Caenorhabditis elegans: one gene and its partners. The protein of the gene in region 1 interacts with the protein of each later gene in a pairwise test. Each region holds a gene or a part of one and is shown in the gene's direction. Other genes may lie near its edges.

Region 1 (7,873 bases):
GCCACATAAAACAACTCGCCACGTATAGGTCCATAATATCTTTCAGATCATCTACCAAAACCATCTTCTCCCGATCTTCAGTCCACCAGGCGAAGTAGGCTCTATCCGGGTATTTTCCAATTCCGATAGTTCCAGTTTGGTAGAGCATTATCCAAGCTTTTGCGATAATTGCTTCAAACCATTGCAATAAAAACCAACATAACAAAATAACCATGTTCTCATGGAAAATTTTGATTCTAACAGAAATCTGACAGGTTCTAATGATAACATAAGCGGAAATGCAGTATATAAGGAATTGGGAAATTGCGGTGATTTGGAAACCGATAGAGTTGTGATGCTTATCATTTAGAGAGTAGACCGGGAGCCAGAGGAGTTTTGAATAGTTCTGATATGCTACAATCATTGAAAATGAAATAAGGAAACTACCTCATACATCAACAAAAAGCAGCTGGATATTGGAAGGGGGAAGGGAAAGGGGGGGTTTTCCTGGAAAAGTCACTTTTTGGTTATTGAGTTAGAGGGGCGAACTTTTTTGATTATTATTACATTACAGATTATTTTTGTCGAGCAGTTCAAATAGTTTATTAACGAAATAACAGAATTCCTACGCACATTGTGTCAGAGTGTCCCATTTCGGTTTGGTCTACGTAGATCTACAAAAAATGCGGGAAAACAGACGCGCGGAGTTCTCAACTGATTTCGCTTGGTTAAGAACGTGCTGACATCGCATGTTTTTGGGCAAAAAAATCCCGCATTTTTTGTAGATCAAACCATAATAGGATAGCCTGACACCAGGTGCCTACGTGCCTACCTACTTGCCTACATTTAGACATGCTAATGTTGCTCATTATGTTGAGAATATAAACTAGCAGGGCCAAAGCAACTACCGCGCTTGCCTGCCTTACGCCACTCCCGTGCCTTCTGTAAGGTGCGGCGTGGAACTCAAAAAGTGTCGGCTGCTACGAAAGATTCAACTATCGAAATATGTGGAATGAACGGCACAAGGCACCAGGCCCTAAAACTGCGCCTGGAACTTAAACGGTACTTACATTCTTTTTTCTGAACAGGAGGATTTTTGATTTCATTACGATTTTAAGCAAATATGAGGTTCTGGATCCTAAAAAAGTTGAATTTTACATTTTTCGGAAACAAATATATTTACTTTCCATGAATACTGGTTTCCTTCGAACAGGTGAAATTGATCTTCTTGGAAATTCCACCCTCTTCCTCATGCCTCAAAAATAAATCCTTGATCTCTCGAGCTCATCAGCTCTCACGCTTGATTTATCTACTTTATCAATGGCATATAATTTCAAAGAACAACAAGTGATTCAAAAAACATGTCCATTTCAAAAATATAAAACCAATGAGCAGTACAATATTAGTTTCCCAAGGCCAATTTTTAACCGAGCAGGTGAAATATTTCCAATTAATTTTAAATGTTTATCTGAACTTAGTATGTAGATCCGGTTTTGCCATATTATTGATTCTGCTCGGTTACCAATAAATATTTGGAATAAATTTTAAGATGGTGTAGCGTTTTTGAGTTATTGTTTCAAATTTCTGAAAACCGCTTTTCAATTTCCTTATTTCCCACCTAAAAGCCTAATCAGTTAACAAAAAATATTGAATACAAAATACACATGAAAATATTTCTAGTCTCATTAGGAAATTCATTTTTCATTTTTAAAAAAATTGCTGACGCATTTCTCAAGCACAAACATCTGCTTGCAAGTTTCACTCATTTCTTTTTTCGTTTGCTTCAAGCTCATCACTCTTCACAATTTTTTGTTATTTTTCAGAGAACATATAATATGATCATAGCATTTTTAAACTCTACAGAAACTCTATGGATTCCAGTTTTCTCTTTAAACGACAGAGTTTACGAGTCCCCAATTTACCCTTTTTTCGCAGCAATCCAAATTCTCATTTACTGCTCCACGGCATATATTATTGTAAGAACTTGCAAAATCATCACAAAAATTCGACTTTTCCACGAGAACAAGAACATTTTAATGGCGTTCTTTTTGTGCCAATGGTTTGAGGCGATTCTCGCCAAAATTCTTATACTTCCCTATCAAATTGGCTTAATTCAAATCGGAAATTCACCCGGAAAATCATATTTTTCCTGGTGGAGCAGCGGACGAAATGATATGGTTTTGGTGGAGAGCACTGATGATATAAGGGTATTGTACATAGCATGCTATGTTTACAGACATTATATGTTTTCCATGTTTTTTGGAATTATGGCTATTGGTGTGGAAAGAGCATGTGCGACGTTTTATATTCAGTGAGTTTTTTGAAAATTCAAATTTGAAAATTAGTCTTAAAATCTTAATCTCTGAAAAAAATTAGACCAAATTTAATTTTTTTGATGAAATAAATTTTAAGTTATGCTCCAAAGTATTTTAACATTTTAAAATTTCCAATTTGGCGCCAGATACAGGAACGTTCAATTGTATATTTTCCAGCGACTACGAGCACGTACGCCGTCGCCATATCCCAGTAATCCTTATCATACTAGTTAATATTATTACAATTCCATATGTCTATTTTGTGATCCATAACCGGATACCATTCCTCGTAGTTTATGGTCAATGGGCGGTTTGCATTGTGTTATCCACGTCAGCCTACGCTACAATTCTTCGAATCAATTTCGTGTTCCGAAATCAGATGCGGAAGAATATAACCGACCATGAAAAATATTCATTGGCGAGAAAGTTTCAAGTTGAGGAGAATATTCGAAGCTTGAAGGTGAGGAAAAGTTAGGCCAGCGAAAGCAAGACCGAGGATGTTGTCTAGCAAAAGTTAGGCCATCAATTGTGTACCCAAAGTCCTAGAAAAGTCAAAAATTCATAAAGTCATGCTATTTTTGTCTCGGCCAAATTTTTAACTTTACAAAAGTTAGGCCATCCCATCAGCTTTCGTTTAGAAAAACCTTGGCCAGCGAAAAGTTAGGCCAACGAACTTCTCTCTTCCAGCTCGCCAAGTACACAGTTCTCGTGGGCTCCGTGCACATTTCCCTAACTCTCCTCGTGTTCACCTGCCTCATGCTCGGATTCTTCGAAAGACTTCAAGTGTTCTTCGTTCACATACTAGAGAATCTCATCTTATTGTGAGTCGATTCACCATAATTTTTCAACAAAATTAATTAAAAAAAAAAAATTTCAGACCAGCCTTAGTAATGGCAGTTGCTCTTTTATGTTGCTCGGTGGCTTGGCGACACGAGTTCATGCAAAAGTTGCCGGTATTGGGGAAACATATTAGTGGGACATCGAGAATTGGGATTTCGGAGTCTAGGAGATCAGTTGTTTTGGAATCTGAAGTGTATTTCCAGCAATTGAGAAGCTCGTGGAACTGAAATTTGTTGTCATAGCTGAGGTTTTATAATTGTGTTTTTTTTGGAATTGTTTAAAAATTTTTAGGCTCCGAAAAAATATTTTTCATAAATTTTTGAAATATTCCCTCCTGTTTTTTCTCCGTCCATCTGCCAAGTTAGCACCCCCAACAGCCATAAAATGTACTTACCCGCAACTTGGTACATACCCTCTTCCCGCCTGCGCTTGTAAAAAACTGGGTGGAGTCTCTCTCAATGTACCAAGTTAGTCTCAATGGCGTGTATTCGGTGTAATTCCTCTATTTTTCTGTCTCACTCTCTGCAATCTTCTCGGTGGAAAATGAACGACACAGAATATACGGCTCATATTCTCGCGAGAACCATCAGGACTGGAGACGATAAATTGGTAAGTTTTAAAAAAAAAAAATTTAAAATTAATCTTTCATACAACTGGTTGGTGTTTGGAAAATAGAAAAAAAACAAGTTTTTGGCGAATTTTTGAACTGAAAATTTTATTTAAAAAAAATTAAGCTTTGAATTTTTTAGTCTTGGAATAAAAAGATTCTCAATGCTTCAATGAACAACTTTTTTTTTTGAAATTTTTTGAATGCAATTTGAAAAAGTTACAAAGAAAAGTTGTTCAAAAAAACATTGCCATGTGTGGAATTTTTTTTTGCAAGCCACCTAAAATTTAAAAAAATCTACAAATTTTCAAAGCTTTTATATGTATTTTTTAATTAGAAACGTTTATTAAAAAACTCAAAATATTGATGTTTGGAAAAATAAATTTAAAAAAAAACATTTTAAAAACTGAAATTGTAAGGAAAGTATTTTTTAGAATTTTTTGGGCGGATTTTTGAATTCAACCAAGAACTCATTTTTTGAACGAACATTCATTTGAAATTTGACATGATATTTTGTGGGTTAAAAATTGTTTTTTTCACTCAACTATTGAAACCTCAAAGTTCAAAAGTTAAGTGAAAATCTGGAAAAAGTTTGAAAAAGTTTCTAGAAAACCAGATTTTTTGCAAGCAGCGTGAATTTTTTAAAATGAAATTCAGAAAATCGTCCCATAATTTCCTTAATCGTCCCATAATTTCCAGATAACCAAAGCCTTCTCACAGCTGAAATTTGGCACTGTACCTATGGATATCCTGGAGCAACACAACTTCCCATACATTGTGCAGCGACATGCTCCAAACAACCAGCTAGCACTCTCCATGGCCTCCAACTATCAAAACTTTAAACTCCAAAAAATCGAACACGAAAAGCCTTGGATGTTGAAACGGTTTGCTGACAGTACTTTCGAGGAGTACCCCGACGGAATAGTCTCGGTGCACACGCTGAAGCTGCTCACCGCCGTCTCCTTCTTCACCGACCTGGACTTTGTGAAATGCTCATTTTCCATTCTGAGCAGGCTTGACCTGTTGGTTGAGGATTTTGAGAAGTATGGAATTCTGGAAAGAGCCAAAGTTTTTGAGCATCAAATTCAAGAAGCCGCATGGCTGGTGCGAAAATATCAACGTCTGAAAGATGAGGTAGAGTCTGAAGTCGAGGAGGAATCGGAGGAGACTGAAGTTGCTCCAAGTTTGGACAGAAGGTATCCACCTATACACGGAGATTTTACACATAATAGGATGGAAATCGAGATGATATTTTTGGCTCAGTGCATTAAAGCAGGAAATGAGGAAATGGTAGGGGTTTTTGATAGATATTTTTTTTCAGAACCTTCAGAGATTTTTCAAAAACTATTGAAGACTTCTCGCCGAAATTCTACAAAAAATTGGCGATTAACTGAAATTTTAATAATTATGAAATTTGGGCCCACTTCAGTTTGAAGGTATTGAAGCTTAAAAAAATTTAGGCTCAGGTTAAGGATTAGACTTAGGCTTAGGCTTTGGCTTAAGCTTGAGCTTAGGCTTAAGCTTGAGCTTAGGCTTAGGCTTAACCTTACAAATGTTAGGTTTAGTCTTATGTGTAGGCTTAAAATAAGGCTTAGAATAAGGCTTATGATGTGGCTTCTGATTAAACGTATGATTAGGCTTATGCGTAGGCTTGGGCTAAGGCTTAGGGCCTGTCTTAGACTTAGCGTAGGTTTCCGCTTAGGCTTAAGCATAGGCTTACGATTAGTCATATGCTTAAGCTTAGGTTTAGGGCTTCGGCTTAATTAATCCATAATTAAGAAAATCCGAGAATATACTTTTAAAACTCCAAAACCTCCGTCAACTTCTCCAAAAAACATTGAAAAATTTCCAGATATCCACCGCCATAGAATTTGTCGGTACAGACGAGCTGCCGCTGGAATTCTACCGAAAATACGACATTGCTCTTTCGTGTCACCTCTACTGCCCAGAACAGGAAGATTGCAAGCACCTGATCGACTTTATCGAAGAGATGGAAGAAGTCGGTATGCAATGGGAGAATTTGGAAGCTCTGGAAAGATACTTACGCGAGAACTCGGAGCTCGGGCTTGTGCCCGATAGTGTGATGACGCTTTTGATGGGATATTTCAAAGGTGATAGGTACTTGGGTGATGAGGATTGGAAGGACTATTTTGTAAGTTTTGGAAGCTTGCAAAATGTTTAAATAAAGCTTTTTGTCTTCAGGTCGACCCAATTTGCAACTTCTTCCTGTCACAGGACGTCTCGCTGGATCAATTCGAACGATTCGATGTGAAGAATATTCTTGTCAAATTTGAAGAACGAGCAACTAAACCTGTGAAGCTTGTGCTGCAGAAGATTGAAGATCTCAAGTCCGCTTAATCGAAAATAATTTATTTGAACCTGTTTTTCCAAAGTTTTTGGTTTTAATATCATTAAATGAAATGTGTTTTACTCCTGAATTTCTAATTTCTGAAAAAAGAACAAAACAATTAAAATAAAATATAATAGTTCTGAAAAAAAAATCAGAAAATCTTTATCATGCTCATAATCAAATCAATATCCAAAAAGACGTTTAAACGATTCGAACATTTTCTGGCCCGACGGAACTTGCTGGTTTTTGGTGATTTTCAACGGAATCCCGTGGTCCTTCATTTCCAAATCAGGCAGGATGAAGCCAACAAGCCCGGCTTGATTGTTGAGATTGTCATCGACTTTTTCCGCGTGAATTTTCCGGACCAGGCTGATTTTTGCACGTGGACTATCGTTTTCCTGAAAATTTGAAATATGAGTTTGAAACATTTGAAAAATTTGCAATGAATTTTCGCGACCTCTCTAGCCTTGACAACTTTCAGCTCCACATCCATTCTTCCACTGGACACTATGAGCTTCTCGATATCCGCCACCATTTCCTCCAGAAACTTCTGCTCCACCTCGAACCGCTTGGAAAATTCCACTTTCTTGCTTTGGGTCGAGCTTTGTGGCGGGTGATGCATTGCCTGGCAGAAGTCGAAATCCGAAACAAAAATCGCCTTAACCGGCGTCTCCACGTCAGTTGTCACGAATTTCATTGGGACAATCTGAGGACCAACGTACTTGGATTCCTGAAAAAAAAAAGTTGGGCTATCGACTGATGGTAGGCAGGTAGGCAATTTTAGTTTATACCTACCTCAGCCTTCTTCTTGAACTCCTCAAGATCGCCTGGCTCTGAAATCGTGTCCAAAGAGCGGGTGTTGCTCGACTTCTCATAGACGGAGACTAGATTTCCATCGTAAGGAAGAACGATTTCTTTTTGAATTTGCACGGTACGAATCGCGGAGGGAGCTGTTCGTTTTTGACGCAACGATTCGGCCGATGAAGTGTCGGATTCGTAGGATTTGGATTGCTGAAAATGGCTAAAATTTTTAGAAAATTAAAAAAAAAGAAAAAAAACTCACAGCGGTTTTAACCTCCTCAAACTCCTCAACTGTCCGCTCCTTTCGCATTTTGTCCGTCAAATTCGCCGTCTTCCGAATCACCATTTCATTCACCTTCTTACGCGGAGCCATATCGATTTTTGAATCAAGAAATTTGCGCCGATTTTGTAACTTTGTAAAATTAGGAATAAATTATTTTTTGATTATGAAACCAGGAAATTGATCAAATAATAAAATCACGTGTTCTATTATTTTTTATTTAGAATTTCAAAAAATTTGAAAAAAAAAATCTAAAAAATATTTTGTTCAAAATTTTTCACGTAAAAAATCAATCACCAAGAGCTCGAAAATTGTGTCCAGTAAGTGTTCGACTCGTCGGCAACGGTACGCCGAGCGGTATAGTCTAAAGGTCGGACCTCGCTGGATGTTCTGGAAAGTTTGTTCCGCAAGAAACGTGGCAGTGATTCCAGTAACTTCGACTTCCAGAGCGGTATGCGAATTACTACAGCCGGGGTTATTATCAGCGGGTTTCTGGAATTATTTTTTACGGTTGGAAATTTTTTCTAGACAGCAAAAAATTGCTTATTTGTTTTGCCGACTTAATCAAATTTTTTTTCTTCTAAAAATGTGGATATTTTCCAAATTTATCGATTTTTACAAAATTTATTGATTTTTTTGTCTAATATTATCGATTTTTCAAAAATCTGCGGATTTTTATCGAACTTATCGATTTTTTTCCA
Region 2 (5,320 bases), on another chromosome or scaffold:
TACTAAATACTCTAATGATTGTTTAATTTTTTCAGCTCTATTCGTGGAAAGCTACCTTACCAAGCCGAATCCCGAGCCATTGATCCTCAAATCATCGATTTTTACTCAAGGAAAAAATGAAATCAAGTTCAATGTTTCACATGTAGTTGGGCCAAGAACCAATATTGCTGATTTCTATCTATTGCGTGAAGGAGAAGAAGGAAAATGGAGACTTAAATCTGGAATTGTTATCAATTAATATTCCATTGTGATGAATGAAGTAGTACTTGATTAGAATAAAGAAGTTGCTCGAAAAGAATTTTTGTAAAGTTCTGATAATTTTTACTGTTTCTAAACGTTGGTAAATCTAAACGCATAACTTGTTGTTGATATTAATATGAATTTTAAAAATGATTTTTTGATTCCAGTTCCAATCAGAAAATATTGTTGGGAGAAAAACATAATAATTGCAAAACATGGTGACAAAGTTATCAGGACATTGAAACATAATTTTAATTTCAGCATTAGTTAATTTTTCGGAAAAAAATACAATTATATGCACATGGAATTAAATAGAATGGCTACTCAAAAAAATTCTGTCTTTAACTTTATCAAAATTGTTTATCTACATATTGCGTGTTTCACTATAGTAATTTAAAACACTCCGTAAATACTTTTGTATTACAATTTTAATTTTAATGTCAACATGCATAATATGCTCAATGATCCGTTCAACCTGTATTCCTTGATTGTTTTTGGATATTTTTGAATTTGTCAGCTCAATAGTTTAGTTATGTACATATATATCTCAGTAAATTGTAAACCGAAGCTATATTCTTACCGATAGAAAAATATTCAAGAAAAAAGTAACTTCTGTTGGGATTTTAATTAATTAATTCATATTTTCGAGAATAAATGTGGCATATTTCACTAACATCAATAAGGCCACCAAACAAATTGTCTTACTCTCATTAATGCAGCAAATGTATCACAATGTTGAAACAGCAATTTTTATTTTTTTTTTAATTACAGCTTATTAATTCTCTCTTTAAGAATGTGATGTCTAATACATATTTACTAATACTGACATAGTGTTTTGCAGAGCGGAGTAGAATTTTCATCCAAAATAGAAACTTTTCAAATAAATCCTTTTCTGTCTGAAATTTTGTTATTAAAATAACGTTTGCAATGAAATGTAAACCTATCATTTTCTATATTTTCAATTTTGTAAAAGTATACACTTTCTCACTTTTCTGCTTATTATCTATCAAAAGACTAAATATATTTTCCCAGTACATAAAGTTTACAACCATTTGGATTGTCAGGTGTGTGTCCGGAAATCGATCGAAAAGGAATGATATGTCAAGGAGAAGGAAGTAGAGTTGTAAAGTGGTGGATGTTAAGGTGGGGGATACCTTGCACCTATTGTCATTATGTGAATGACAATTGGGAAGAATATAGGTCACCAGTGGAACTGTAACGTAATGTTTTGGAATAGACAACTTTGACATGAAATATTAATATGTGAAAAGGTAATCTGGAATAGAGAAGCACGCAGAAAATTGACACTACAAAATAAAAGTCTAAATGTGGATATCCTTAAATAATTTGCTTTGGATCGGGTTTTAGTATTTTTATTTTAAATTAGTAACTCGGGCGTTTTTATCAAATGCGGCAGCACTCAAAAAGTTACTGTTTCAATATAGTGATTAAAAGGACATCACTATATAAAGTACGATTTCCAGTTTCAAACAGTTTTTGTTGAGCAATTCTAAGAGAGCAAGTGAATACAATCAATCGATAATTGGTTGACTCAACCCAGTGCTCAGGCTCCGCCCACTAAGTGGGGTCTAAAACATTAAAGGGATAGAGAGGATCATTCATTATAATATTTTGTTTAGTATACCGTTTTTTTTCTTTCATACTTCCTATTAATATATGTTGATTTTTTTTCAATATTCAGATTCAATAATGTTTTCACAAGCTCAATTCAATGTTACAATGGCTGAAGAAGACCGATGGAAACAATGGTATCCAAATATGGAAATGATTGTGAATAATAAAGGGCCGAAACTAATTTTTCCCGAACTCAACTTCAATATTACTGGATTGGAAGAGAAATCGAGATATGTTGTACTTCTTTCAATTGAAAAATATGACAATATCAGGTATTTTTTAATGATTTTCAAAGTCACCATTAAAGACAAATCTTAATTTCAGATATGGATACCGAAATGGAAAATGGGGACCTTCAAAAGTCCGTCATGCAACGAAAAAAGAACAAGAAATCAAATATTTCTTACATCCAGATGGAACAAAACTTGGAAAGGAATTGATGAAGGAAACTATTAAATTTGATACAGTCAGGATTACGAATCACAAAAAATTCATGGACAAGGATAATGTGGTTAGTTTGAATTTTTAATTCACTAAATAATATTATAATTAATTTTTATTTCAGTTTTTCGTGGAAACAATGCACAAGTATGTTCCAGTCCTCACTGTCAAAAATATCACGAATGTTGAATCTGCAAATCATTCTATGAGAATGGAAGTAGCCCAATTTTTCCCAGTCACAGTATACAATCAAGAATCGATCGGAAATTGGAAATCTAAATTTCACAAGAACTCAACATATGGAAATAGATTGGATGGGGGAAACAAGAGAAAGAATACTGATTCGAGTGAAGAGCGAACATCAAAACGATCAAAAAATGAAACAGAAATTGCTGTTTCGGATATCCTTCAAGTTGCCTCACAATCAGAAAATTATAATGAGTCCACGAATTCTGGAAGGCTTCAAAATGAGATCAGTTCCTCTATTCACCAGTTCCCATCAACTTCCTATCAAAATCAATATCCACATGCGTATCCAACAGTCAATACTCCACCAATTTATGTTCAGCAATTCACAGCTCTATTTGATGAAATCCACAATCAATTCGATCCGAAAACTAAACAAAATAGGGTTGCAAAAAATGTTCAGTATCTTTCAAGTGTACCACAATTTGCGATCAATCAAAAGGAAAATATTCATCAGAATGCTCCAGATTACCCAGTCTCTCAATTTCCAAATCAATATCCATATGGTTCCTATCCCTATTATTATCCATATTTTCAATCCAGCCAACAGTTTCCACATCTCAACTATTCCATGAATAACTCTATTTATTCTGATTCCTCTTTCCAGTCATCATTTTCTGCTGAAAATTCATATTTCGATGAAAATGGAAATCCTATCCACTATCCATATTATTCTAGCAATTAATTGTCACTTCTTCATTACTAACCCTTGTTTCCTATTTTTTTCAAATTTTCCTGTGATTGTTTTGACTTCTCTGTCCATATTGACTTTAGCTCATTTTGTTTAATTCTGTAAATTATTTCTCACCTAATTTTCTGTTTCTAGTCGCAATAATTTGTAAATCAATTTTCTTTTAATAAACTTTTAACACTAATCTTGCTTTACCGTTATGATAAAAGGGCTCAGAAATTCATACATTATTCATTTTCAAAATTAAACATTGCACTATTAATCCACTATTGAATAAAAATAATTGCCAAAATTACAATTTAATATTATAACGTGATGGCAAAGTTTTCTAAATGCGCGTCCAATTTGTTTCATTTCTGCAAACACCGCGACGACAAATTGCATACCGGGTGTCAGGGCGGGCGTGAGGGGGGCGCGGGAAAGAGGCGGGCGAAGGGCGCCCCCGACACACCTCGCCCGGATGGAAAGCCTATTATGGAGCTGCTTAGCAAAAAAGTTTGCTTTTTTTTTTATTTTAATGTTTCAATTTTGATGAATCAAGTGTGGAATAGAAACATAAGCACATCATTTTTGCGTGTCAAATTATTCCGAATTTCGGATATTAAAATTTGAAATTTTTCAAATTTTTCGATTATATTGTGGGCCGCAGATACGTAACTTTACAAAAAAAAACAGGAAATATACCAACTATGTAAAGCAGACGACTTTTCCTGTCGTTGATTTATTTATTTTTTGGTACTTGAACATTAAATTCCCTCACTTTCAAAGTTTATTTTTTGAACAATGAAAAATATAAACTTTTTTTGCTGCTAAATTATTTTTTTTGTGGAGAATATTATTTTTTGAAATTGAAACTATTCTGGTTATTTAAAAAATTGTATTAAAAAAAAACTGTATCAAGTTGTAAATAATTGGATTGCATAAAAACTTACTGTTGATAATAAAAATAATAAAAAATAATAATAAAAATTCAAAGTTTCCTGTGAGTTTCTTGCCTTCTTTCATTTTGTTTTATTTTGTAATTTTTTTCTGACTTATTTTACTGTTTCATTCTCAGTTCTTTATGAGTCAATTTTCCAGTGAGTAAATATCAAATTGTACTCAAACTATATGAAAATATATCAACAACTTGAAGCAGACAAATGTTCCGCCAGAGAGTCAACCAACTTTTAGAATTAGAAAACCTCAATCTTCCTTTCGTAGAATTATTTATTTTTTTGAAACCATGAAAAAATAATTGAGGAAACAATTTCTGCTCGAGAATGTTTGTATATTTCTACAAATAATTTCAAAAAGTACGTTTTGTTGTGGGGAACATAATTTTGAAATTGAAAATACTCGATATTCTGAAAATGAACGTAAATTTGGAGAACACTACTGTTTCGAGTTTTAAGTAATTGGTCAAAATGAAAACTTACTGTCGATTATTTTGTCGAATTTTTTTCCTGGTAAAAACAGAGTGCGTAAATATTAATTTTAGCATTTTTAGCAATTTTTGCAAAATAAAAGTGTTCAACTTTATTAATAGAAATGGAAATCAGATACGTAAAAATTGAAAATAAAGAAAATAGATCAGAAATTGAGAACCACATAAAACAGTATAAGTAAAAATTGAAAAAAAAAGTCTAATGTATTCACAGGAAAGTGTTAGTTGGTTTTTAGAGGGGAAATATGGAAAAAAAAACCGTGAAACTCACTGGAAAACATGATAAGGAGGTACTCATACAGAAATGAAGATACAAATTATTTGTAAGGATAATAGGGATAATGAATTGGGTTTCCATTGTCATCAAAATACGAATTTTCAGTAGAAAATGATGACTGGAAAGAGGAGTCGGAATTGATGGAGTTATTCATGTACTGATATGGAGATCCATGATCAAGCTGAGAATATTGATGGTAATATGGATGATATGGATATTGATTTGCAAAAGAAGCCTTTTGATTCATCGCAAAGTTTGGCAAACTTGAAGCATCTTGAGCACAGTTTGGCGCCAGATTTTCATCAGTTTTTGGATAGAATTGATTTTGCTTTTCATCAAATGGAGCTGGAAATTGCTGAGCATA
Region 3 (4,891 bases), on another chromosome or scaffold:
TCTGAAATAACTCAATACAAATTTGGTATACAATCAAAGCACAAGATTTTTCCTACTTTGTTTTTAAAAACAAAATGAAACATGTGAACATATATGATATTGAACTAATAATTTTCTTGAAGAAACTCAAAAAACCCTGAAAGGTTAAGCTTTTTTTTAACTCAATGTCGGTAAACTGGTTACATTAGGTTATTTTTTCCTCTCAAATTCAAAGAAGAAATTGCAAGTTTGAAAATGAAATGCTACTTTAAGTTTTAATTTCTAATATTTTCCACAAAAAATCCTCGGTCTTGTATTTTAATCTCCTGTTTTTATATTGACCCTTATTCATTTCCCATTGTCTGTCAATATAGTTGTCATTCCAATGATGACAATAGGTGCTTTCGGTAATAATAAGGAATTAATTTATATAAAAATTGGGTGGAATACATTTTGTCAGGATTTTCAGCCTCTGTGTATGTTAAAGATGTGAAATGGAATATTATATTGATCACGGAAGCAACAATAAATTATCCTCCTTTTAGTTATTTTTCATTTTTTAGGCTGAACTGATATTGTCATCATTGGAATGACAACTATATTGACAGACAATGGGAAATGAATAAGGGTCAATATAAAAACAGGAGATTAAAATACAAGACCGAGGATTTTTTGTGGAAAATATTAGAAATTAAAACTTAAAGTAGCATTTCATTTTCAAACTTGCAATTTCTTCTTTGAATTTGAGAGGAAAAAATAACCTAATGTAACCAGTTTACCGACATTGAGTTAAAAAAAAGCTTAACCTTTCAGGGTTTTTTGAGTTTCTTCAAGAAAATTATTAGTTCAATATCATATATGTTCACATGTTTCATTTTGTTTTTAAAAACAAAGTAGGAAAAATCTTGTGCTTTGATTGTATACCAAATTTGTATTGAGTTATTTCAGATTAATATCAATTTGATAACGATTTGTTTGACTTTCTGGGCTAAAAGTTTAGGTCAGTGTTTCTTTTTTTACTATATCTTTTAAAAATATTAGCCACGTTATTTAAAAAATGCCTTGTTTGCGCTTACTGTTCAACTGAGAAAAAATATTTCCTAATTTATACGTTTCACAGTTTCTGAAAATTCCAAAGAGCCCAAAATTAACACCAAACTAATTTGTTTTGACAATGAAACGTCTTCGTCTATAATTTGCAATGTATATGATGCCGAAGTTTTCATAAGAAAATACCAATTGGCTCATCCTATCCACTGCTTTAAATAAATGAATGAAACAGTACAATTTTAAAAAGATTCTATCAAACAATTTTGAAGTCAGTTCAATAAGACTTTCATTTTAACTCAATAAATACCCACTAATTTTGTAAAAAAAAACATATCACTCACATGCTAGTCGTCGTCTTGTTTCCTGTTCGAACTGTATTTTTATAAAAATATAAATGTATCGTATTTGGTATTGTACTAACCCAATTTTTTTCCGGTAAACCTTAATTTCGAAAAATTGTTTCAATTCTCAATCTCTTGTTACTATAACCTTTAATTTCTTATCGTTAATATATTTGTTATTTATTGACGTCTTTGAGAATATGTTAGCTCTCAGGAAATCGATAATTGGATGGACCCCGCCTCCGTGCTCAGACTCCGCCTGCTGTGTGTGCTCTGAAACAAGATGAGCATGGAGGCAGAAAATCATTCATTACAACATTCCGGTTAGAATACAGTTCATTTTTTTCTTTCTTTTTGCTTTTATATATATTTTTTAATTTTTCTATTCGTTTTTAATTTCAGATAAAGGTCTCTGCGATGAATCCATCAACTCAAATCGTTGTGAAAATGTCAAATGAAGAACTATGGAAAGAAAGATATCCAAATATGGAAATGATTTCAAACAGTAAAAGAATTACTCCAATTTTCCCTGAAATCAAATTCAAAATCTCTGGATTGGAAGAAAATTCAAGATATGTATTGGTACTGTCACTTGAAAAGATGGATAATATCAGGTAATTTTGATTATTTTACAAAAATTAAATAAATTCCTAATTATTTCAGATATGGAATAAATGAAAACAAAGAATGGGCTCCATCGTCTGCTCGTAAACCAAAACCACATCATAATATGAAGTTTTTCTTTCATCCAGAAGGAACAAAACTTGGAAAAGAATTGATGGCTGAAACAGTTGAATTCACTTCAGTGAGGATTACAACAAGTGAGAAATTATCAGAAAAGGAGAATGTGGTTAGTTTCTATTTTTATTGCTTTAATCAATTTATTGAAAAACTATTTATTTCAGTTCTATGTTCACACAATGCACAAGTACGTGCCTGTGCTTACAATCAGGAACCTAACAACCGGAGAAATTGCCTCAAATATCTTTAAAATGGAAATTGCTCAATTCTTCCCAGTTTCAATTTATCAGCAAGCTTCCATGGGAAGATGGAAGTCTGATTTGAACAAGCATTCAACTTTTGGAAATAGGTCAGAAGGTGGAATAAAAAGAAAAACTTCTGATGCAGCTGGACAACTACCATCAAAAAGGTCATCGAAGAAGCCTGTAAAGAAGGATGTTGTGGATAATTCTGAAGTTACTCTAGAAGTGAAAACGTCTCAATATCTTGTGAATCAAAACGAGAGTAATCTAACTGAGTATATTCCTTCTTCTCCACTCTATTCATCCCAAAACCAGTATCAATATCCGTTCCATCCATATTCTCCATTTGACTCATCTATCCCATATCCATACTCTCCAATGGATTACTCTTATTACTTCAATCCAACTTTCCAATCATTTTCCCCAGAAAATGTATATTTTGATGAAAATAGAAACCCCCATTAACTACTCGAATAGCCATTTCAAATAATTTACTCTTTTTTGTTCTTTTCATGATTGCTCCCCTTTGATAGTTAATTATTTATTCTTCCTGTGAATATCAATGATTCCCCATGTTTTCTATGTTTGATATCATTAAAATTTCTTTCTTTTGTCCTTTTATATTTGATTTTGTTGTCGATAAATTTAAATTTAACCTGTTTTGTGATTCATTTATTAATTTTCATTCCAATAAGATTTAAAAATTAATTATTATGTTCAGTTAAAAGCACGCTTCAAAAATAAAATCAGGCTGCGAAATTCTGCAGAAATTTTCTGAAAATGCTTTAAAAAAACCCAGAACATTTATCCAGAAATTTAAGCCCACTCAATTAACAAAATTGAACTACATAATTTGCATTTTTACAAGTAAAAGTGGAAGTAGCATCATCATAAGCATAAGAATATGCAGTTGGACAAGCATCTTTGAAAAGCATTGCAGTTCTGCTTTGTCTACATTTGTCAGGAGTTCCAAATGCTCCACGGCAGCATTCCTGATCGTTGTTGTAAGCAACACAACCAGATTTACAGCCAACGGTACGACCATCTGAAATTGAAACAGTTGGAGAAATTTTAGTTTTTAAAAATTTGTTCTGTTTCAATATGTGATTATTTCTGAACTTTTTCAAAGTAAAAGTATTATCCATTCCGTGATTAAAGCAAAAATGACTTTAAATAAAAATTAAACAGGTTATTTATTTTTTTGAAGTTTTTTTAACGGAAAATTAAAAATTCTCAACCCCACCGCCACTTACCTTTTCTCACTGCAAGATCGCCTGGACAGAAATCATTGATATTTTTGAAACATCCTCCTGCTCTTCTACAATCACCCTCACCACCATAAGGATCAATAAGAACTGGAATATTATATCCATCAACAAGCGAAACATCATAAAAATCTTTTCCATCAGCTCCACGGAGAGTAAATTCGGCGAGACTTGCCGGAGGCTCTCCACCAGCGCCGTTGCATTGCTCCCGCCGCTGAAGGTTGTTTATTTCAATTATACACTGTTTCATGAAGTTGTTAATTTTGCAAGTCTGTTCTTCAAAATCGTTTAATACAATATTTTACCTGTTTTTATTTTTGAGAAATTTGGAGTTCCACTAATGTTCAAATACGAATAATTATTAAAAAAAATTAGGATGTGAAAAATTTAGGTATCATTATAACGCCCACATCGTTTTTCGTCGAAGATTTTGCACAATTTTTAAAAATATGACTTTCTGGAATCATCAAGAAAACATTATGTTGCTTAGGTCTCAACTTCTATGTGCCTGCCTATGCCTATTCGAATAAATTTAGTTGGCGTAAAATTTTTACTCCCAGATCTTGAGCGAAACACATTATTTAGAATCAAAAAGATTGCAAGATCGAAATTGGTGGAAAAAACAAAGATTTTTAATTGTTTTTGAAACAGTAAATATTTTGCACTCAAAATGTAAATTTTTTACCTTAAAACTAAGAAGGCCCCACAAATTCCAATTTGCAAAATACATAGTTAGTTTAACTTTAAAACATTTGTTTCTATCAATTTTCGTCAAATACTATTTAAAAAATGTGTTCCCCATTGGCAACTTCTGAGTACTGTAAAGTTTTGGTAATCAACTATTGTTTAATCTATATTTCTGAGCATCTTCGAGAAAAATATGGAATTTATTGAAAAAATGAACATATTTTTGCATCTATGAATTTTGAAAATTTCGGAGTTCCCAATATTTACCCCACAATTGCCTGTTGCACAATTCATATTCCCATCACAATCAGTTCTCGGCCAAATTCTCGCAGATTTCCATCCGTCATCAACATAAATACTTCTTGCTTCACCTGCATTCAATCGAAATCCTCCTCCTTCAGGATTTCCCGGTCCTAGAATTCCAGCCCATGTTGTGAATGGACACTTGTTGTAGATTTTGATCTCTCTCGATAAAGATGGAATGACGAAAAGAGAAATTGAGAGAATACCGGCGAAAAATAACATTTCGAACACCGAGTTGCCCCCACGCACTTATATACTGTTCCGCTGGTAATGAAAACAATGG

Evidence for each region. The genes of interacting proteins can lie anywhere in the genome.
Region 2: the proteins of Y57A10B.6 (region 1) and tbx-39 interact in a two-hybrid assay, tested with the Caenorhabditis elegans proteins (one large-scale study listed by BioGRID).
Region 3: the proteins of Y57A10B.6 (region 1) and tbx-42 interact in a two-hybrid assay, tested with the Caenorhabditis elegans proteins (one large-scale study listed by BioGRID).

Annotation. Positions count from the first base shown.
Region 1 is NC_003280.10:12,386,479-12,394,351, forward strand, and holds Y57A10B.6 (SEC-C motif-containing protein), read left to right. Parts: upstream 1-3,604; 5' UTR 3,605-3,677; coding exon 3,678-3,743; intron 3,744-4,440; coding exon 4,441-5,031; intron 5,032-5,593; coding exon 5,594-5,893; intron 5,894-5,943; coding exon 5,944-6,099; 3' UTR 6,100-6,184; downstream 6,185-7,873. Other genes in the region: sre-42 (Serpentine Receptor, class E (Epsilon)), read right to left, coding at 1-403; sre-41 (Serpentine Receptor, class E (Epsilon)), read left to right, coding at 1,815-2,290, 2,472-2,754, 2,982-3,115, 3,172-3,361; Y57A10B.7 (Gag protease polyprotein), read right to left, coding at 6,274-6,489, 6,549-6,821, 6,887-7,102, 7,155-7,265.
Region 2 is NC_003282.8:15,321,943-15,327,262, forward strand, and holds tbx-39 (Putative T-box protein 39), read left to right. Parts: upstream 1-1,950; coding exon 1,951-2,147; intron 2,148-2,199; coding exon 2,200-2,386; intron 2,387-2,440; coding exon 2,441-3,247; downstream 3,248-5,320. Other genes in the region: Y73F8A.15 (DUF38 domain-containing protein), read left to right, coding at 36-238; tbx-40 (Putative T-box protein 40), read right to left, coding at 4,997-5,320.
Region 3 is NC_003282.8:5,230,772-5,235,662, reverse strand, and holds tbx-42 (Putative T-box protein 30/42), read left to right. Parts: upstream 1-1,787; coding exon 1,788-1,984; intron 1,985-2,033; coding exon 2,034-2,220; intron 2,221-2,275; coding exon 2,276-2,818; downstream 2,819-4,891. Other genes in the region: thn-5 (Pathogenesis-related protein 5-like), read right to left, coding at 3,184-3,398, 3,607-3,832, 4,573-4,830. UniProt on the Caenorhabditis elegans protein: Involved in the regulatory network to control embryonic patterning and morphogenesis. Implicated in negatively regulating vab-7 expression at the anterior of embryos.